Schizosaccharomyces pombe: one gene and its partners. Changing the gene in region 3 together with the main gene of any one other region gives a genetic interaction. Each region holds a gene or a part of one and is shown on either strand. Other genes may lie near its edges. The genes, in order: gar2, gda1, lsb5 and SPOM_SPBC1778.03C.

The links.
Region 1: mutations in lsb5 (region 3) and gar2 together harm fitness less than expected from each alone (positive genetic interaction), as found in Schizosaccharomyces pombe (one large-scale study listed by BioGRID).
Region 2: mutations in lsb5 (region 3) and gda1 together harm fitness less than expected from each alone (positive genetic interaction), as found in Schizosaccharomyces pombe (one large-scale study listed by BioGRID).
Region 4: mutations in lsb5 (region 3) and SPOM_SPBC1778.03C together harm fitness more than expected from each alone (negative genetic interaction), as found in Schizosaccharomyces pombe (one large-scale study listed by BioGRID).

What each region holds. Positions count from the first base shown.
Region 1 is NC_003424.3:1,894,690-1,900,346, reverse strand, and holds gar2 (nucleolin), read right to left. Parts: upstream 2,886-5,657; 5' UTR 2,825-2,885; coding exon 1,322-2,824; 3' UTR 856-1,321; downstream 1-855. Other genes in the region: arb1 (argonaute inhibitor protein 1), read right to left, coding at 1-18, 58-140, 182-295; sdh2 (succinate dehydrogenase iron-sulfur subunit protein), read right to left, coding at 4,056-4,883. UniProt on the Schizosaccharomyces pombe protein: Helps the assembly of pre-ribosomal particles containing 18S rRNA.
Region 2 is NC_003424.3:1,695,469-1,701,480, reverse strand, and holds gda1 (Golgi nucleoside-diphosphatase Gda1), read right to left. Parts: upstream 3,611-6,012; 5' UTR 3,444-3,610; coding exon 1,773-3,443; 3' UTR 1,319-1,772; downstream 1-1,318. Other genes in the region: SPOM_SPAC824.09C (GTPase-activating protein), read left to right, coding at 1-31, 76-119, 189-267, 339-383, 522-1,164; hydroxyacylglutathione hydrolase Glo2, read right to left, coding at 3,998-4,649, 4,792-4,910; TIM23 translocase complex subunit Tim14, read right to left, coding at 5,857-6,012. UniProt on the Schizosaccharomyces pombe protein: After transfer of sugars to endogenous macromolecular acceptors, the enzyme converts nucleoside diphosphates to nucleoside monophosphates which in turn exit the Golgi lumen in a coupled antiporter reaction, allowing entry of additional nucleotide sugar from the cytosol.
Region 3 is NC_003423.3:3,760,282-3,765,596, reverse strand, and holds lsb5 (protein lsb5), read right to left. Parts: upstream 2,661-5,315; 5' UTR 2,428-2,660; coding exon 1,513-2,427; 3' UTR 1,158-1,512; downstream 1-1,157. Other genes in the region: protein Mde2, read right to left, coding at 1-106, 160-777; ADP-ribosylation factor Sar1, read left to right, coding at 3,768-3,890, 3,940-4,045, 4,303-4,646; protein mug37, read right to left, coding at 4,981-5,246. UniProt on the Schizosaccharomyces pombe protein: Essential for the organization of the actin cytoskeleton, fluid phase endocytosis and vesicle trafficking.
Region 4 is NC_003423.3:3,100,143-3,105,468, reverse strand, and holds SPOM_SPBC1778.03C (NADH pyrophosphatase), read left to right. Parts: upstream 1-3,105; 5' UTR 3,106-3,303; coding exon 3,304-3,335; intron 3,336-3,515; coding exon 3,516-4,614; 3' UTR 4,615-4,826; downstream 4,827-5,326. Other genes in the region: guanyl-nucleotide exchange factor Lam2, read left to right, coding at 1-353; Spo4-Spo6 kinase complex regulatory subunit Spo6, read right to left, coding at 618-722, 769-1,490, 1,537-1,669, 1,721-2,185; telomere-binding protein Rap1, read right to left, coding at 4,893-5,326. UniProt on the Schizosaccharomyces pombe protein: mRNA decapping enzyme that specifically removes the nicotinamide adenine dinucleotide (NAD) cap from a subset of mRNAs by hydrolyzing the diphosphate linkage to produce nicotinamide mononucleotide (NMN) and 5' monophosphate mRNA.

The DNA of each region.
Region 1 (5,657 bases), on a different chromosome or scaffold from region 3:
ACAGTCAATGGTATGTTCCTAGAAGTGTTAGTAAGACACAATATTTTGTATTCTCACCTGCTGTATAATGTCTCATTTTCCAATTTCTCTTCAGCTGTCAGTTCGGGTTCTTGAAAATAAGGCTCCCATCCAGACAATCCCTAATATTTATTAGACGGGTTTTCTAAAGCTTAAGAAATACCCTCTTTTTTCTTCTATTACCGAGACTTTTTCCTGTACGTTTTTTAAAAGTAGTAAATTCCACGCTATCGCCAATACAACCTGTACTGTCATTTTTAAAATCACCTTCTGCCATCACTCAATCACTTCATCTGGACTGGAAAGTCAGTACACTAGTCGTATAGTTGATTTACTAGTTTATCAGTGTGGTAAGGGGAATCTAAGGAACCAAATTTACAGTGTTGTATTAGAAGCTTTGTTCATAGAGTTAAGTAGACAGTTCCTTTGCCGGATTTAGTAACGCTGGATATATTATTCTACAACCGTTTTTTGAATATGCCAGAACTCATCACTACTGTTACAATTGAATTTAGCTATATTATAATTTGATATACAAAAATATTTTTTTTTAATTTGCTTAAAATAATCGCAACCAAAGTGTAAGTAAACATGCTTGTATTAATTTAAAAGTTGAAATAGAAGCGTATTTGTAATGTAGAATCAATGATACCTTCTATTGATGCTTACCTAATTTAATAGACGAGACATTACAAGTTGAAGATATAAGACAATATGACAATGGCTCGACTACATTCTTCATTTATGATTACGGGTAAGACCACAATCAAAGTTCAACAAAAAATCATTAATTTAAAGTGCCGTATGGAAAAGCCCAAAAAGGAACACAAAACGGTCTTCATTTACTAGCTATTAGAAAGTGATCAACGATGATTGTGAGTAACATGGATTGATTAGATGAACAAGAACAAAACTAAATAAGATTCTATTTTATATTAAAACCTATCTAAAGCTATGTCAAAAGCTTCTATGGAACGTATAAAGGAAAGGTGAATACATGAACTAAACCGTAGAACAACGCCAACCATCACTGCTTTGAAATTGTAAAACCAACGGGCCCATATTTATTATCTTTATAAAGTCAATAAAACCAAACCAAACCCAAATTCATTCCATAACAAACCCAAACAAGTCATTTGTATTTGAATACTTCAACCCAATTAAATCAAATCCACAGCCCAACATTTATTAAAACCCTTTATGCCAAAAAGTTTCCCAAAAACCCAAACTCATATATTAATTTGCTAAGGTATTTACATTTAACCCATAAAAATGAACTCAATATAGTTAAAAGCCAGTATACTTAGTCAAAAGTGACTTTGTTCCCAGAAAATGGAGCAACCGAGCCACGGTTGGGGTTTCCAGAGCGAGCACCACCTCTACCGCGACCACGTCCGCCACCAAATCCACCACGGCCACCGAATCCACCACGACCGCCAAATCCACCGCGACCACCACGGCTACCTCCACCAGTACGAGGAGTTGAAAAGTCCAAACGACATGGGCGACCAGCAATAAAATGACCGTTCATTTCCACACATTTCTTGGCAGAGTCAATATCAGAGAAAGTAACATAACCGAAACCCTTAAGACGTCCTGACTGAGGATCTGTGGGCAAACGAATGGATTGAATGTCACCGCAACCGCCAAAAGCCGTACTGAGATCATCTTCAGTTGCGTTAAAAGACAAATTTCCAACAAATACGGTATCACTAGGTTCAGATAATTGGTCTCCAAAATTACCCGCACGTTGTTGAGCATATGGTTGAGGGTTGGCTGGGCGAGGATTAGAGAGATCTAAGTTGACCATACGACCATCAATTTCCTTGGTACCATTAGCGGCAACAGCAGCCTTAGCAGCCTCAGGGGTCTCAAAATCAACGTAGCCGTAACCCTTTGAGCGACCGCTTTGGCCATCCATAATAACACGTGCACCAACAATTGTACCGTACTCTTCAAATTCCTGCCCTAACCACTGATCATCTACGTTCCAAGAAAGACGACCGACGAAAACAGTGCAAGTCTCGTTAGAATCTTGAGAAGGCTTGGTAATCTTAGCAGGTCTTTCTTCAGAAGCAGGCTCGGCTTTACGTTTCTTCTCGTCTTCAGAGCTGGATTCGGATTCAGAATCAGAGGAAGAGTCGCTGTCTCCAGATTCTGAGGAGGAATCTGACGAGGATTCGGAGTCAGAAGAAGACTCGCTGGAGCCTTCTTTCTTCTCTTCAGTCTTCTCGACCACCTCTTCTTCTTCCTCAGATTCAGATGAGGAAGATTCGGATTCAGATTCAGATGAGGAAGACTCGGAAGAAGAGTCACTAGAGCTCTCCTTCTTTTCTTCAATTTTTACAACAGCCTCTTCTTCCTCTTCAGACTCAGAGGAGGAAGATGATTCGCTGGAACTCTCCTTCTTCTCTTCAGTTTTCACAATCACTTCTTCTTCAGACTCAGACGAAGAGGATTCAGATGAAGATGATTCGGACTCTGAAGAACTAGATTCGGATTCTGAAGAGGAAGACTCGGATTCTGATGAGCTAGATTCAGACTCGGATTCTGAGGAGCTTTCTTCCTTCTTCTTAGATTTCTTTTGCTTTTTTACTGATTTCTTTGAAGGTTCGGGACTAGAAGCACGCTTAGCCTCCTTTTTAGATTTTTTAGGGGAGACATCGGTTTTAGAGCTTTGCTTTGCAATCTCTTTAGCAGCCTCCTTAGTAATCTTCTTGGACTTGGAAGGTTTCTCAATGGCACCCTTCTTTGATGCAGTCTCCTTCACTGATTTCTTAACGGAGGTTTTATCCTTTTTTGCCATTATATTCACAACCTATACCAAAAGCCCGTTTAAAAGAATTTGGGAGTTTTTTAGTTTGACTGCTGGTACGGCGCGACAAGCTGCTATATATAGCCAAAAAAATTTTTACCGATGATATATGTACCTGAAGCCGTATACTAGTATAGCAAATTTTCTAGACGTATTCGTTAAACTACTAATATAGAAGCTTGTTCAACTACTACTATTTTTTATAAAAGCGAGTTTAACTAATTACGCTATCAAGTAATAGCTATCTGCGCTATTCAACAACAAACCAGCAAAGTAAAATATTCGCCATTAATATTTAAAAAATGAGTGTGTCTGAAGGCTTATAACATGTCTTAAAGGTAAAAAGCATATTGAAATTTAATAAATTGTTGAATCAGTGAAACGAAGGAGTTAGGTTTAGTCTTGCGTAGTATTATCTGGAGTGGTGAATATGTAAATTCTTATGAACGATAACATCTTATCCAAGTTATTTGTGTTCGTCAAATATTATAAACTAAAAAGTGGCCGTGAAAATGTACATTGTTGATCCATTGAAATTTTAAAATCATGTTATAGTAACAAAAAATTTCGACCAGCCTATGGAGAATACCATGGTTTAATCGTCATATTAAGATTTATTTTTCTTTCATTATTGTGTACATGATTTCCGTTTTTATGTGATACTTTAATTAAATAAAAGATGCCTCATTTACTTATCTCAAGTTTTACAAAGCAATTACCTTAAAGGGCTCTCAATATGCTAAAAAGTTTTCAACTCTTTAACCAAAGAAGCAGCTGCTATGTTAAATGCAGTAACTAGCCACAAATAAACAGTGAAAAAAGTGGTTTAGATAATTTTCAAATACATGCTTAATTATTTCATCTGATGTAACAGCGTAAAAAATCACAATCAAACAATTCAATTGTGCACAAGTTACCACGAAATAGCATATTTTCTTTAAAATAGAAAAGTTTACCATTTCCCGAAATTATTAATGGTAAACTAGATTTAGATATTGCAAATAAAAATAAAGGGTTCATTAACGGGAACAACGCAAAAGTAATGGTCAGATCGAGAAAGTAATGTAGCATAGATGACAGCTAAACACAGAGCTACGCAAGTAAAAAAAATCGTAGAAGAGAAACATAAAATAGGTTAAGTAACAACGGGGGTTCCTCTTTAACAAGAAATATTGGAATCATCAGATGCGAAAGAAAAGACAAAAAGAAGCGTAAATCTTGTTTAAGCAGTAGCCATCAAAGCCTTTACCTTGGCAATGGCAAGGCCAGGGTTCAAACCCTTGGGACAAGTACGAGCGCAATTCATAATGGTATGGCAACGATAGACAGACATAGAGTTCTGCATGACATCCAAACGTTTAGCAGTAGCTTGATCACGAGAATCGATGATCCAACGATAAGCCTGCATCAAAACTGCTGGGCCAAGATACTCTTCTGAGTTCCACCAGTAAGATGGACAAGAGGTAGAACAACAGGCACACAAAATACATTCATACAAACCGTCAAGCTTGGCACGGTCAGCGCGAGATTGGTAAAACTCCTTGTCTTTAGGGATGTTATCGTTTTGCAACCAGGGTTCAATACTCTTATATTGCTTATAAAAGTAGGTTAGGTCAGGTACGAGATCCTTTACGATGAAGCAATGAGGTAAGGGGTAAATTTTAGTAGGTTTGTTATCTTTTTTAATGTTACAGATGCAAGCCAAAGTATTACTGCCATTAATATTCATCGCACAAGACCCGCAAATACCTTCTCTGCATGAGCGACGGAACGTTAAGGTAGGATCTTGCTCATTTTTGATTTTAATAAGCGCATCCAAAACCATTGGTCCGCATTTTGTTAAGTCGACTGTATACTTTTGAAGCTTTGGCTTTACTTCTGGTTTCTCTGGGTTCCAGCGATAAATCTCGAAAGTTTTTAAATTTTCACCCTGTGACTGAGGATTAGCAGAAGTGGCAGATATGTTGGCCTCTGTAGCCATCATACGGGCATTTCTGTTAACAAAATGCTTCAAAAACGGGCTCAAAACTTGAATTCGACGGCTGAACATCTCGATATGTTTTGATTTTTAATATTGGCAGTTGGTAAGACTGGTAAAGGCGAGCGTTGTGGTTGGCTATTATAGATGGAAACAGAATCAATTTTATTGGCGGCAGAAAAATACATTAAATTTTTCACTCATATCCAAAATAAAACTTTTAAATATTTTTGTGTATTAAATTTAACAGTTTCTTCAAAAAAAAATCCCCCGTACATCTAAAACATGTATGGGGATCGCGTGTTTACTGGCCTGTCGTAGACAGCGTTAAATTATTTACGCGATAGGAAGTTGGCTAACGTATTACTCGCTTAAGTGCAGTTAGTCAAGATGGTCAAAGCGGTTTATCCAAACAAATTTAGTTAATTAATGTTTAAATACGCATACTTCGAGTTTTAATATTACTTCCGTAAAATAAATATTCAAAAAAAAAACCTATTTATTTGGTAGAACTGTATGACTTTAATCTCGTCTCTTTTCATATAAGGTGCTATTAACTGATTAATAAACCGGTAACCTAATAACCCTTGAGCCGAATTACTGCCAAATTTACAAAACAATCATGTAGATTAGAGTGAAAGGATAGACAGTATGAAAATATTAGAGTCATATTAAAAAATAAATACTTTCTGTAATTGATAATTTAATTAAAATAAAAAACAAAAGTCGAGAAATACAAGAAAATTACATGTTTGCCCTATTTTCAAATTAGGTTTTAATTTAGAGATTAGAAAAACATGGTTAATTATACGGAACTTATTTGCACAAAAACTTTTTACCGTTACA
Region 2 (6,012 bases), on a different chromosome or scaffold from region 3:
GTTGGAACTTGGGTGTTTTCATTTGTATCAGGTAAGTAATAGCTGCTTAAAATTGAAATCATTAACACTTGTTAGATGCTCAGGAGTGCATCGAAGTCTTGGAGTTCATGTTAGTCGTGGTATGATTACCTAGGATACAAAATTTAATGTTAAAAAACTCAGAATCAGAAATTAACAGACAAAACTAGTAAAATCTGTTGATTTGGATTCATGGACAGATGAACAAACTGAAAATATGACAAGATGGGGAAATGAACGTGCTAATTTGTAAGTTTGTCTACTTTTCAAAAAAACTTTGCGCTCACGTCCTAAAATATAAAAACTAACAACTTTAATAGGTATTGGGAAGCCAAACTTGCGGGTGGTCACGTTCCCTCTGATAGGTAGGTTTTTATTGATAATCCTTAGCATAGCTGGCATTGAATGTTATCTTTCTAGGCTACATACCCTTTACACGTTGCTAGCAAATTGGAAGCTTCTTTTTTGTTTTTTTTACTGCATATTTTCTGACCTAGATTTAGTAAAATTGCGACTTTTATAAAGACGAAATACGAATTTAAAAAATGGGTACTCTACCCTGAAATTCCTTCTCCGGAAACGCTAAAACCGGAACAGAATACCAGACCTGTTTCAGAAGTCAACGCCTCTTTAGATCTTAATACTGCTTCTCGATCTTCCAGTGCTCACTCAGTTAAAAGCACTTCTTCTGCTACAGTTACCAACGTTACTTCCAAGAAAGAAGCTATATCAGCTACCACTTCTTTAGCCCAGTCGTCTCCTAATTTAGCTTCTTTATCCAAGCAACCTTCTACTGTGCATGCTCCTTCGACTAGACAACGAGATTTAAAGTCTTCAATTCTCTCCTTATATGCATCTCCACGACCACAAGTAAGTTCTTCAAGCATAACCACCAATGCAACATACCAAAATCTACCGTCCCCAGTTTCAACTAGTACTACGTCTAGCCAACCTTATGGTGCTTTTCATCAACCGGCTACGACAGGATCCTCCTTTGTGGCAGATAAGTGGAAGATGCCTATGTTCACTTCTAATGTGACCAGTGCACAACCATCTGCTAGAGCATCACCCGTTCAATCCAATTCTTCTCGGCCGCGATCTTCTTTAGACAGTAAGATTATTAATTCTCATGATGTTTGGAAATAGCCTTTAGTGACGCTTATACAAATTAACAGAGGTTTTTACTACTTATTTTGAAATATTTCATTAATTTAGCTATTTAAGTTCATCAATCGATGTCGGCATTTATGGATTCCTATATTCAACCTTCATTATAATACATTTTCTACTTTTCAGTAAATATAAATGACATAAATGTATTTATTAGGTCTATTATCGCTGAAAGTTTATTAAGTATTAAAAGCTAGCACACATTGTATGTATTCCGTAAAAAGATGCCTACGATATTTGGGAAAATTGCCTTGATCAATTTCAACTTTCCCAGAAATTTGAAAGATTTGATTTACATGAAACAAACCAGTGGAATAAAGAATGTCCCTCAATCTATTAATGTTAGTTGTACAACAAATGTTAGATTTGCTATACGCCCGTAAAGAAGTTAACACTGAAAGGAGCGGAGTAGCGAATTTTGAGACATGGAAATAATATGGACGAATGTAGAAAAGAAAAAAGAAAAAAGAAAAAACAAGAAAAAAAACAGGATCAACTATATTAACCCTTGACCTCCTGAGGTTTTAAGCAAACAAGTTTACATATGCTTGTTGTTCATTCAACATAATAAAAGAAGGTAAAAACTAAATTTCTTCTTTCACGTTACAATTCCAACCATTGTTTTGCTCTGACAACATAGACAAACTAGCTCCCAAACACCATCCAAGTTCCTTGTTGTCAATTTTCTTAGCAGTATGGAGCTGTCGGTTATTGGGGATTTCATACCCAACCGAAAGTAAAGAAATCATATAATTCAAATCTAAACACCACTCTGGCTCTTCTTTCAACTCTTTAAGGGCGTCAGTTAAAGAAAAGGCGTCCTGCCAGTATGTTGGTCCACTACAAACACTATTTGCCAAATATTTCATATCTTCAATGGTAAAAGTGCTTGGCATGCCTAAACTGATCATACGATCGTAAAAATAACTGATTAAATAAATGGGAGAATCAGTAAACGTCTCAGTGAACTTGGGTTGATGAACACCATTGAAAGAACAAGGACGGACTGGGCAATTTTTGTCTTTATACAAGGCTTTTTCTGCTATACCACGACACTGAAGAGAAAGATGGGCTAACGAAGGGCCAACGAACACGACCTCAGAAGCTTCGCTTTTTGAATCCGGGTGCGTTAGACTAGCGTTGAGATGCAAACATGGATGGATGATGCTAGTGGAATCACCGAGCAACTCCAATGACTCCTTTAGGGCCTCTGCATTATTCAGCACAAATTTATGAATCAGCTTTCGAGCTTCCTTCAAACCATAACCTAAGTGAGAATGTTGATAAAGTTCATATTGCTCACCATTGTAGTCTAAAACATACTTATGGTCACCATCAACAAGCGATTCGCCATCAGAAGCGAAACGTGGTTCAAAAACAAGCTGTGTAGAAGCACCACCGAGGTCCATTACAGCGACAGTAGAGTGCGTGGCTTTACCACCCAAAGTTCCTAGAAGGTAATTAATGGTAATCCACGCATATATACCTTCCATGGAACCTTCAAGGATAGAAACACCGTCTTTTACAATAGGAAAAGGGTAATCGTTTTCCAAATGTTGTCGCACTGATTTCAAAATAGCTTTAGCCTCACTTTCCCCAGTCAATCGTAAACCAGCGGTTGCTTTTACAGCAATAGGGGAACAACGACGATATTCCTCAGGCACGTTTTCCATGGCATAGTCAAGTAGTGGGTCTAAGGATGCCGCTGCTCCTTCAGGATCACCGGCAAAAGAAGATAAGCCAGGCTCTATCATTTTAAAAAACTCTTCTTCTAATTTGGGAGAAGGATTGCAGTTGTTAAATTGGTAAACATGAACACGAGACCCAGTGGAACCAGCATCGATCATCAAAACATATTGACGAACAGGCTTGCTGTTATCATAAGCCACAGAACAATCATCTGAGTCAATAGAAGAAGAAAATGTTACATCCTTTGCCGCACTGGTTGGAGCTATTTTAGGTTTAGAAACAGCAGTCTTAGTAGGGATAGAGGTAGTAACAGGAAATAAAGGTTCTTCGGAAAAAAGAGGTTCCTCTAACTCATCCTTGGGATTCAAAAGATCGACTACCTCTCCTTCACTTCTGTAGCCTGAAGGAAGCTCGATGTCCTCATAATGGAATTCGTCGTTTGAAGATGGTAAAGGTCGGTTTGATGAGCCTGGGAATCCATTCCATAAAATGAACGTAACAGCAAATATAGATAGTGCAATTAACAAAGCCTTCCTACGGGCTATTGATTTCATAGTTGGAGTCATGAAATGAGTGAGTAATCCTAAGAGATATTTGGTGAATTCAAATAAATTGGTGAAGAAGTCAATTAAATAAGAAAGAGTGAATAAATGAACGCGATTTTATGATAATTATATTAATTAGTAGGCACCAAAACACCTATCAACACTTACTACTTGGTTGATGGCAAGTTAAATAAACATTAAAAACTGGCTTAGCATATATTCAGAGTTGTAAATGCTATTGTGTGGATACCTCTCTAATCGCGTTAAATCATTTACGGTAAAAGTGCGACTGTATAGGCCACCCAAAATTATATGTAAATACAATAACTTAATCGAAGTTAAGATAATCAATCTCTTTATTGCTTACATGTAAAGAAACGAAAACATTTATTTGAATAAAATAAACTCAGGATGCAATTTACTCTGACACCGCTAAACAGCCTTCAATTCGTATATGTGATCCAATTGAAAAATAGATCAACTATATTCTTGCTCTAGCTCCTAGTAGAATCAAGCAAAGCAACCGAGCTTACCAAGGCATACATAAAACATCATCAGATAAATTCAAAGTCGGTCTAAGCAGCGTTTTTCATGTCACGCAATTTCTTCATAACAGTGATTGGATCACTACTGCCCACTGCTTTTTGTACCGATTCTAACCCAAGGCACATGAATGGATTGAACTTCTTTTCGTCACCGATGGTAAAGTGACCAGTAGTAGATTCATGATTCTTGCAAAAATCCACCAATTTTGTAAGCTCAGGAGTAGAGAAGATCGTGGAACTAAACTTGGCATTTGATTTGGTGTATTCATGACCAGGGTAAGTTACGGTATCATCGGGTAAAGCAGCAAGGACGTGATTCAAAGCGTAGTCCATTTGTTTGGCATCTCCTTCAAAAAAGCGACCACAGCCTGATGTAAAAAGAGTATCTCCAGTAAACACGGCTCTTTTTGAAGGAGAGGAAACGTAATAACAAATACTGTCTTGGGTATGGCATGGCGTATGAAGAGCCTCAACTTGAACTTCTCCAACCTTGAAAATCTCCTTATCTTTGGGAGTGTATGTGACACCAGATGCATTTTTTCCGCCATAGACCTTTAAAGAAGGAAAGTAGCTCAAAATGTCTTCGTTGCCGCCTGCATGATCATAGTGATGATGAGTGGTCAGAATGTACTGCAAATCAATTTCTTTCTTCGCCGTTTTCTCTTTTATGACAGGAATAACACTAGAGTTTGTCAATGTTAGTTTGGTTAATTAAATGTTACGGAGCGCACAAACAAAACAATTCGGAAAACAGGAGGAGAAAATCATGTTTCCGAAATCACAGATAACAGTATTTAAGTCGTTATTTCATTCTCTTCACTTACCTCTCAGGCTCAGCAGGGTCGACGATGGCAGTGATTTTGGTTTTATCACAAGTCAGCAAATAGGCATAGTTGTTGCCCGTTCCTTTCCACATCCATATGGGCGTAATATGAAAAGACATCGCGTTTCTTATTATCTTATGCACTTTAAAAAAAAATGAATATACTAAACTTCCTACTCTACTAAGAAACAAAATCTTAGAGAACGTATTTGTTTAAGTCAAAAAAAATTTGACAGTACGCACTTATATACGGTAACGTCAGAGTGATATGTAAAGGCAGCTTCTGTGTTAATAATCATTGTTAGAAGCGAAATTTCGATGTTTATTAATCAATTCATTTTTTTTAATTATGATTATGAAATAAATTTTTAAATAAACATACTTCATATAAACTGTTACTGAAGTAGGTTTTAACAATGTCATTCAAAGCGCAAAAGTCAAAAACTAAAATCATTTCAAAGAGTATACATTTTGTAAGGAATGATATTGTTTACGACTAAGGAAATCAAATGCTCGAATTCTTCTTTTAACTTATCCTTGTTGTGAATTGATACTCGGAATGCATGGAAAAGAACCTGACAATTTTCCATTGAAAACGTTTTGGAAAGTAAGTGTCCGGAAACATATGAGAGACTCAAATTTAATCTAAAAAAGAGTTAAACTATTAACACTCGGTACAACCATCAAAAAGGAGACAAAATCATTGACGCTCGAAATCAAATTACTAAATAGCTCCAGCGTAGAGAAAGAAAAAAAAATACAATTTCGGGGTTTCCTTCGCATTTTCCGAAAAAGGATTGATATAAGAGTACGAAAAGAATCGAAGGCGATGTACTATACGGAGCAAACACACATCTTTAGAAGCAAAAAATAAAATAAATTGACAAAAGGTGTCTGCAACTGAATAGTAAAAGTTTTTTGGAAAAGCAAACAATAATTCACACAATGATTAGTTCTATTAAGGGCATCATAGCTTTCAGCTAAATTTTAGCAAGAAAACATTAGTTCTCCAGCAGATACAGCACATAATAATATTAACAACGATGCAGACCATTATTCATCACTTTTAAGCTTTCGGTATGGAGCTGTATTCAAGCCATTTCACCGCTTCAAGAACACTAGGCATTGATCGCTGCTTAGAAACAGGGAGTGCCCATGAACTAAATTTTCGGATTGATCGATCTGCATCCAAAAGTGACTTGGCCTCGTTTACCTTGCTGGC
Region 3 (5,315 bases):
AGTTTTGATAGAAAATTTTTCTTTTGTTATTTGCATTGATATCATGATTTTTCGTTTGCATACGAGATCCAAATATGTAACGATACTCCATCACTTCTTCATCTTCCTTGACCCAAAACTTGTTAGCTTAAATTCCTTTACAAAAAATTATTTGCTTACGTAGAAAACATAAATTCTGTCTTTGTTTGCTGATTTTGATGTCCCTGATTTCACGGCTCCATTTATTGATTTATTATGGTCGAGATTAGTACCTCCCTCAGTTTTTTTACACAATTTGATCGGTTGGTTTTTTACAACGTTCGAATGGTTGGACTGACTTTGTGATTTTAGCTCAAACTTGGGTAAATAAGGAGATGCATGTGAGTTATCATTGCCAATAATATCGACATTACCAGAGGATGTTTGGCTTTCACTGGAAGATATATAATTTTGGCTTAATGGAAACGAGTTTATTAAACCATCACTTTTTCCTATAACAAGCACATCATTGATGATTTTCGGAGAGTTTTTATGGTGTTCTTGGTTAAGAAGGTAATCTGATAGCTTCTCACTTTTGTATCTTTTATCGGCTTTTGTATTCTTATCTACTAAAGTAACGTTTCGAGACTTAGCTTTCTTTAATTGTTTACTTTCAGAAAATGTTTCCTTATTTGAAATAATGTCAAACGCTGTCACAGTTCCTTGATTTGTTATTTTGGAAAAGTCGCTTTCCCGATAAATCTCAAATGTTGGTTTTCTTTTTCCACACATGGTTGTGGATTTGGTATAATTTTCCATTTTTAATTAATTTCCGTGATCCTCTTTTCTTTTAGTCTTGAATTACCCATTCACTTTGGTTGTTGTCTTAGTAGTATGGTATGGAATGTAAACAAACAAACTCACGAACGAATGCCTTTTAAGTGGCTACAAATTTAGGATACCAAATTCTCTATTTAATTGGTTAAAATGTTATGTATTTGTTTTTTGTATTATTTGACGGTTAAAATTAAGCATGTATGCATCCATTTTACATAAATAATGTTGTGCTGCTTTTTTGAGATGGACGGTATACTATAATGGCTTTAGATATCTCGAAAACAACTTTACTTTTTAAATTATGTTAATTAAAAGAAAACATTTTTTAAAGCGCGTTACTTACAAAGATTGACTACAACTAGTGTGCAAAAAAAATAAATTAATTAAACACCTTATCAGTTAAACGCAATAAAATTGGCAATAATATAAACAAAGGCGCACGGTTGCTAAAAGGTTGACTAAAAAGGGATTGTATCTAATAAGTCGAATACAGTAATATATATCTAGTGCATGACCCAACTAAAAGACTCATAATCTTAAAAAATTATAATTGTCCAAGATAAATAAGGCACTCATATTAAAGAGATGGAAGGTAGAATCATTAAGAAGATGTTGAAGGCAAGATGAAATGCTTTTTAACCTTCGCACCCCTTGATATCAATCGATCATTACCAATTAATTAGGTATTCAAATCCATTAAAAAGGAAAGCTTATTAATTATTCCAAACGATTATGATCGCCAAAAGGATTGTTTACATCCAAATCTTCTGATCTCTGAGCATTAGAACCTCCGCTACTCGAGCGAGATATGTAAGAAGCCCGATCATCAAGGTGACGAGAATATGAAGAACTATAGGATCCACTATCTGAACTATAATCTGAGTTTTCGGAGCATTTTTCCTTGAATGCATCAATGGCTGTCACAATTTCATCGTTTGCCTTCAAGAGATTGGCTAACCACATCTCGTCTTGAATAGCTTGTATGTAGCGCAACAAGGAGCGATGAGCACGTTTACAATCCACATAATAAACCATGATTTGCTTGTTTTTGGCCGGATTTTCTGTGTTAGGATTGATTCGGACAAGGCTATTAGAAAGATTGGTAGCAGCCATGCTGGAAGAGGCTATCAATCTTTCTAAAATTGGACCAACCTTTTTAAGATTGATAGTGGGTTGTTCAGAATGCGAAGCAGATGATTGTCGTTGAGGAAGTCGAGATACTAAACTACTCATGCTTTCCATTCCACGAACATTAGAATAGTCATTGTGCCAAAGTTTGATCATATGGATAGCACGCTTACGAACGGGTTTAGAATATTCAGAATTTGTTGCACATTGCAACATTCGGTCTTCCAATTTTTCGTCTGAGAAATTTTGTAAAAAATGAGAGCCAGCATTTTCAATTAAAGCCTGGAGAATAACAAGTGCCCGAACTTGTTCATGAGGTGTACTGTACTTTAACTTCTTACGAAGGGTACGAGAAGCCTCTCGCGGACCAGTAACAGTTAAATTAACGGCTTCAGATAATTGAACGATACCAGACAAATCCTCATCGTCGGTATCTCTAGAGGTTAAACGATCGATATAAGTGGTGACAGCAGTAATTGGAACTGTTTCACTGAAAATTCCCATTATAAATAAGATGAAATAGTGATTTTAATTATTCACTGAGATAATGATAGCTTGAGTGTTTGATGGCTTGATGGAACAAATTAAAGTCTGAAAATATATAGCAGCAAGGAATAATTTTCAATCGATTGTAAACGGACCTTCCAATAAACGAAAGTAGTACCTTCTGGTTGTTCTTTCAAGTAAAATTTTATGAAGTTTTAAAGCTATCGAATAGAAAAGTTGTCTATATTTGCAAAAAGAAGAAGGATTTTGGTGTGTGTCGTATAGATAAAGAATATCATATTACACTACGTTCCAAAGTTGTGATACAAAAATAATTAACGAAATGAAGAATGAAAAAGATCATAAATTAACCCGAAAATTGATGCTTGAATTTTAGAGAAGATTATGCAATTTTTGTTAATTTATTTGCTAGCAAAATATCCTGTAGATATAGATTCTCAGCTGATATTTACTAATTCTGTATGCCGGAATAATATTAAGTAATAATTAAATGATAGTTATTAACAACTTATTATGAAAAAAACTAGCTTAAAAAAAAATTTTTTTGAATAAATGAGTATTATTGAATTTATATGTTTTAAATATAAAACACAAATTCCTGTATCACCCACCGTATACATAGAAACAAAAATATATGTATATATATTCGTATAATATATCTATAAACTACGAAAGGCCGATGTCACAATTTGTAAGATTTATAAAAAAAGAAATCCAGAAAACTTTTAGAAATTAAAGTTACTTCTAATCTCAAAAGCTAATATTAAAAACAGTTAGCCTACGTGAATTTTTTTTTTTTGTAATTCTAACCCAACTGTTGTAAGTGTGCATTGTTTTATTCATTCAATTCTTTTATACATTTATTTACCGTTTTTCTCAATTTGTCTATTGCGCCCTGTTATTAACTGAGCGTAGTGCAAATACATAACATGTTTATAGTTACAAATTTTAGAAATGGTAAATTACTAGTCGAATTTTATTTAAACGAAAAGCTGAAAGCTATCATCCTTTATTCTTTTCAAACCGAAAGAAATTGTATTGAGACGAATTCATTAATAGTTAATTTAAGCAAACGTAAACATGTAAATTAGAAATCGCCAAAATCGTTCTCTTCATACTTACTACTAGAAAAAAGCATAGAGAAGCTTCCAAATTTGAACTATATGTAATTATTCAGTTTCATTTCATACGTACATTAATTAAATATTTTCTTTAACTACTTATTTTCGGTTACCTAGAGAAAATTAGTATAACTAGGCATGAGGTAAGTCATCTCTTGCCAACCACCAACACACTGAGCATAACAGGTTTTCAGAAAATCCATCCATCTTACACCAATGTTTATCATTAACTGGTTCTACGATGCTCTTGCCATGCTTGGTCTTGTCAACAAGCATGCCAAGATGCTGTTTTTGGGTTTAGATAACGCCGGAAAGACCACCTTGCTACACATGCTGAAAGTATGTTTGACTTCTACTCTCCTTGATTATCCTTATACTAATTATTTAGAATGACCGTTTAGCTGTAATGCAACCAACTTTACATCCTACTTCAGAAGAACTGGCTATTGGCAACGTTCGATTTACTACTTTCGATTTGGGAGGTCATCAACAGGGTATGTAGTCACAGAGTTGTTTTTCTAAATCATGGAGATTTTGTAAGAGTTGGAATGTCTTTAGAATAATTAATTTTTTTTCGCTTAAAATTCTTTTTTGTATAAAGTTGTTTGAATTTCTATATCGTCTCATATGTCGTTGGCTAGTTTATCAGTGGGCCGTTTTGTTCTCATGATCTTTGTTTTTTCTTTGCAATTTCTTCTATGATTTTGGATTCTCTATCTGATTTTATGTATTTTTACTAATTTTCTTATAGCTCGCCGCTTGTGGAGAGATTATTTCCCCGAGGTTAATGGCATTGTTTACTTGGTTGACTGCTGTGACTTTGAACGCCTTTCTGAATCAAAGGCCGAACTAGATGCCTTATTGGCCATGGAAGAACTTGCTCGCGTCCCCTTTTTGATTCTTGGCAATAAAATCGATGCCCCTGGTGCTATTTCTGAAGATGAACTCAAGGCGGCCCTTGGACTTTATCAGACCACTGGTAAGGGCGTGTCTAAACCCGTTCCTGGAATCCGACCTATCGAAGTATTCATGTGCTCGGTGGTCCTTCGCCAAGGTTATGGCGAAGGCTTCAAGTGGCTTGCTCAATACGTCTAAGTTACCCCATTGCATCCTCTTAAAAACCTTTCACTTTGAATGACGCCCGTTCCAAATTTCCCTAATTGTTTGCTCAGCGCTTACATAGATTCGCCCAATTCAGATTTACAAACTTGATGACAAGTCTTTTTTGTTATATGATATTCGTGCGGTCAATTGTTTTCATCTACGGAGCATTTGTCTTTACTGACTTTGCAGTATGCTCCTATGCTGATAACGTATTGTGTATTATCCGTTAGCCCATTTTTTTCAGTTGTGATTCTAAAGCTTGATTATTGGTTCTTCAGAGATATTTACTTATCTTTTGTGAATATGATCATATATAGATGATAATCTATAAAGTTTCGTAGAGCACCATATTGTAAGTGTCCCATAATTCATCTAAATCCGAGCTAGCTATGTGTATCACTTTTAAAATCTTTTCGGCATGAGAGACGATTCCAACCACTCTGATCATAGTTGCCGGTTTAGTTAAAAGAGGCGATATTTCGCAACATGAGTAATATTTAGCAAATATCGCTGGTGATTTTTGTCCACGAAATGCGTCTTCAAAGTAGTAGAGGATGACATTGCCGACTTTTTTTGCAGAGCGCACTTTTGCTATAACGTTAGATTTCATTTTTATGCAATAAAACCAACATATATTGAGAGCAAACATAATAGACCTTA
Region 4 (5,326 bases), 660 kb from region 3:
TAAAACGTCTGGATTTAGCTAAAAGGGTTAGATCTATTGCGGCTTTAGCAGGCAACATGTATTCACTTTATACTGCAACCAACCCTAGCCCTTTGGTCGCGGAGTCTACAGACGACGTGATTGCTCATCAAAGAGATGTACTTTTTGAAACAATAATTGAGTTTGAAAGGGGGAAATTATTAATAGCCGCCATTTCAATTGATGGGGCTGAAGATAAACTTTACTCCAAAGACCCATTATTATTAGGGATTGTTGGAACAGAAAACGCAAAGGAAGGAATGATGCAAATCAAATCTGAACTTTTGAAAGAGTGTATCACCAATGAGCTTTCCACGCTTGGAAAACCAGTCTAACTTATTTTAAATCTATTTTGATTTAAACTCGATAATGTTTGGAGCTTTACTTGCATTGTTTGTTACAATCATAGGCTTAAGCCTGACCTTGGTTTAAGAAAAGAATGCTACAACACATCATTATATTGTTAATTTTCTCTTCCCTTTTAGCAGATTATTTTGAATTTTTCATTTGGACAAAGGATATATTGATTTTACGGTTTATTTGAATGTTTGAACTTGCTTTCTGGAATTTTTGAGACATCCTTAAAACTTGAACTAACGTTAATTTGTCCGAATTGGGCGTCGGATTAGCAAAAACAAATCATCTAAACCCTGGAAATTTTCATCTTTCTCTGCAAATCTTCTATGATGTTTTCCGCCCAAATGCTATCGATGTGTTAGTGCTGTTTTTGCTATGATTGGTTTAACTTACCCTTTCCAAGTCCTTGTATCTCTCACAGCAGTTTTCACAATATCCTGATTTTGTTTCGATTTTCACCTTCTTGTGAGCTAGAGGATCTGCATCGAAGGCATTAGGTGGTTGTCGAGGACTTTGGTTAGCCAAGGTGTTTTGTTTGTTTATTAAACGAGGTTCAAGAAGGTTAAGTGGAGACATTGCGGCGCGTTTCTCTACCGGTAAGAGGTTTTCTGGCTTTGGAAACTCTGTCGGCATTTGTTTTGCACCATCAACTGCTGATTCTGTGATATTATAGTCCCCCATGATTTGACGCACCAACACACTCGCTGAATTTTTAACAACGTTATTTTGGTTAGTTTGATTAGTGCAACTTAAGAGCTGTTTTCTGATTTCGTGAGCTGGATGGTTATGTTTTGTGATTTTTAACTCCCTTCTTCTACCAGTATTAAATGGACATCTTCCTTGTGCGGTTATAGCAAGACTTGGCCATAAGATCTCTCCAGAATCCAATGTTTTCTCCCATTCTCGTACTGCAATTGGCTTATAGTATTGTGATAAATCTCTAATGCAGAGGAAGTATTCACGAAAGTACTCGACGTTTTTGCTTGGCACGTAAAAGTCTTTGTCTGATGTACCATACACTTTTTCACCGTCTAGGAGAGATTGCAAGCACGAAGCTGAGGTATTAACCAGGCTATCAGAGTTGAGTAATGTAAAGAGGATTCTGTTCAATAGTTCTAAGAAAGTTAGCGAAGGTTACACTGATATATTAAGAAGACTTACTGTCCAGGAGCCAAATTTTCATATTGGCAGTTTTCGAAAGGTAAAGTACATCATTCGGCTGGCACATTTCTGGGTCGGTAGTCCTGGTGGTAATGAAATGTGTAACTTCAAAAGTAAATAATGTTGCTACTTTCTATATATGTGTTAGTTTTGATCTGCGCAAGTTCTTGCATGAACTACTTACGGCTCCAAGATTATTAATCTTTTGCGTAACACGACGCTTGATTTCCTCATCAACGTTGTCAAAGTAAAATATAAAGTTGGGAAACGCCAATCGATAATCTCTTTGCCAGTAACGAAGTTTGGAAACTCGAATGCTGGTTCTTGGTATATCCTTGTTTCGCGTTAGGGAAGGTTTTACACAGTAGTTTGAAAAAGCAGTGGGTGGGAGAGCCATCTTTGCTGTGGCTTTAGCAGAGTCAAAGGCATTTTGATGAGGCATGTGCGTTTGTTGTTGAGGGTACCAGTCGGAGCATGAAGTTGCGCAAGCTGCAGTTTGACACAGTTCTTTGTCCGAAGTTTCTGTTTTATAGCTAAGAGGATTTTGAATATCTCTCTTTACTTCTTCGTTTATATTTTGTATACTGGGATTTTGGTCGACTAGAGGAGATCGAACAAACGGCTGAGACTTCACTGAATAGAAGTCCATACTCTTCCGGATTGACTCGGAAAGATTTTTAGGAAGAAGAAGTATGTATATATATTCCTTGGGAGGCTGATGAATTCACCTGTTGGTTAATCCTACTTATGTCTGGCTTTAATATTCAGCAATGGCCTCGGTAAGCAAGATGCAGGTTTTCCTCTAGAAGTAAAAAGATAAACCTATCTTTTTTTCTGTGGAAGTTTGGAGGAGTATCCTGGATATATATACAATTTGATTTTGTTTGTTTACTCAAATATTTTCTCATATTCACCTAGTATTGTTTGTAAACAAAAGCCTCGCCTCGCGTATTAAGCCAGTAAATTAAACGCGCGACACGTCGCGTTGCGTATCACATTCATACTAAATAAATAAGCTACTTTGGCTCCATTTGATAGTTTTGCTGGGTTCCTTTGTAAAAATTTTTTTAGTATTCATATGATTAGAAAATATATATTTACTTGATTCAAGCTTGTAAAATAAACATAGACCCAATTTTAAATAAATAGGTACCTAAAAGTCTAGGTAACATTGTTACACTGACACGTGAGAACTTTGTAGTTAATTAATCGTCAACATAACGAAAACAACTCAAAGCAATTCCCGTAACTGTCCATTTAGGAATTAACCAAAAAAACAAACAAACAAAATCTATTTTTATTCCAATGATACTTTTATGACTCACCAAGGCGTTAATAATTGCGAAAACACATACCAATATGTTTACAATTATTTTTTTAACGAAATTCGTTAAATACTTCATGGCATTTGAGAAGTTGTATGGCAATCGTATTTAACGGAGACTTTTTCATATTCAGTATCCCTTTTCATTTGGAACTTTAAGGTTTTCCCAGCTGAGAGTTCGTTTACATCATTTTATTAGATTTTTACTTGCAACTTGGGTTCGACTTTTAGTTCACTCATAAATTGTACCATTACCATTACGCTGGTGCATAAATAACCCTCCTTCTGGTCCTCTCTGTTCTTCATTTCCATCTTTCATTTTCTATTCTGCGTATTTTAACAGTTAAACAATTGTAGAATTTATTCGAGAGATTTGCAAAATTCTGTTTTAATAATTGGTTAGGTTTAATATTCTTTTCGTCTTTCAGAAATCAAGTTTAAGTATGCAGGGTTTCAAAATAGCTCGACATTTTGAGTAAGTAGTTAATTGTTAGTTCTATTTAAAGCTACTTCAAACTTGATAATTCATATCATCTGTTTTGCATGCTCATGGAACGTACCGCTCAACCCTTGCTAATACATGTGCAATGTAACACATAAAATCAATTTTTGATATAATAATCTTAAAAAAATGAGTTTTCTAACGTTTTTCAAGGCTTCCGACTGCCCCTTCTCAGTTCTTCGCAGGAAGCTCATTAAATAGGCTTTCGTTTCTTAGGTCTAATCGAGAATTTTTAAATAAAGCCTTTTATGATCATACCACTCGCTTTCTTCCTTTTTGTGACTTAAATCCGGCTCTACTCGTAAAGGACGATAAATTGGTCACTCTTTCATATCCTCAGATATCCAAATATTTCACGTTCTCCCCTTTTGAGCACACTGATAAACAAATTGCTGAACGATTTTCCAAAGGAGAAAGTTTACCTGTCCTTGTCTACATGGGCAACGAAGAAAGAAATGGACCAACAGATAATTGGAGTCAACACAACGTTTTTGCCATTGACATTACTGGCATCGATGAACTTCAGCAATCGATACGAGACAATGGAGGTACTTTCGTTAATCTTCGCTCTATCTTCACCGAACAATATCAATTGAGCGCATCGGATTCTGGTGCTTGTGCTTTTGCACGCTCTATTCTTGACTGGATTTCAAGGTACAGATTTTGCCCGGGTTGTGGAAAACGCAACATACCTACTATGGGCGGTACAAAATTGGTCTGCAGTGACGTTTTATTGAACGACGACTCAAACTGTCCTTCAAAGAAGGGTATTAATAATTACCAGTATCCTCGGACAGATCCATGCGTAATAATGGTTATATTGTCTCATGATATGCAACACATTTTACTTGGAAGAGCTTTGCGCCATCCGAAAGGACTGTATGCATGTCTGGCAGGCTTTCTGGAGCCAGGGGAAAGCTTGGAAGAGGCCGTTGTCCGTGAAACCTATGAAGAATCTGGAGTTGACGTAGAAAAGGTTTTATATTATGCTAGTCAACCCTGGCCTTTTCCTCAAAGTTTAATGTTGGCTTGTTTTGGAATTGCCCGAAAAAATGCTAAAATCCAGAGAGATAAAGACTTAGAATTAGAGGATGTGCGTTTTTTTTCCCGAGAGGAAGTTCTTCGTTCTTTGGAATGGGATGCCAAGGATGGACCTGCTCCAATTTTATTTCCCCCTAAACTATCCATCGCTAGAAATTTGATCCAAGCATTTGCATATGATGATTGGACAAATTCACAAGTTAAAATGTAAAGGAAGTTATAAAAATGGAAGTTTAGCTACTTTTCCAAAGATAATAAGTGAATTTTCTAAAAAGGTTGATTTACTCTGCTACATCAAAGCAAATATAATCGGCTCATCAGAATTGAAATATTCACACCTACTAAATCCAGAAACAAAAAGAATTTTGTTAAGTTCAATATAAAATATTTATATAATAAAATCATGAATTATGCATAAAAAGATTCGTAATATTGTACAAGTTTAGGTCTCTTTAGAGAAATAGAATTTGGGCAGAGATGCTCGGCAATTTAAGAAGTTTGTTTTGAAAGTAGTTTAGCAATGGCAATTCGTACTCTTCCACCCGTAGATTCCATAGCTTCAAGGAATTGTTGTTCTGTTGAATTTGTGTACCTTAAAATATTGTCGATCGCTTCATCAACCTCACGGTGATTTACTGACGACCTTAAAATAGAAACTTCATTTTGTAATTCATGCATTGCTAAGTTAATAAATTTTCCTTTCTCTTCACTGGGTACATGACCTGCAGGTAATGTAGTTACTTTTTCATTATTATCTGACGGTATGATTATAGTCGGACCGGTATGAGCTTCTTCGTTAACCATTCTGTATTTTTTCTGCTTTTTGGTAACCGGTTGCTGCATGTTCTCTTCCACTTTCTTATGAGAAGCTGCATTTCCTTCTAACGAAGTGTGAGCGACTTTTGTGGCACCAAAGCTTTCTG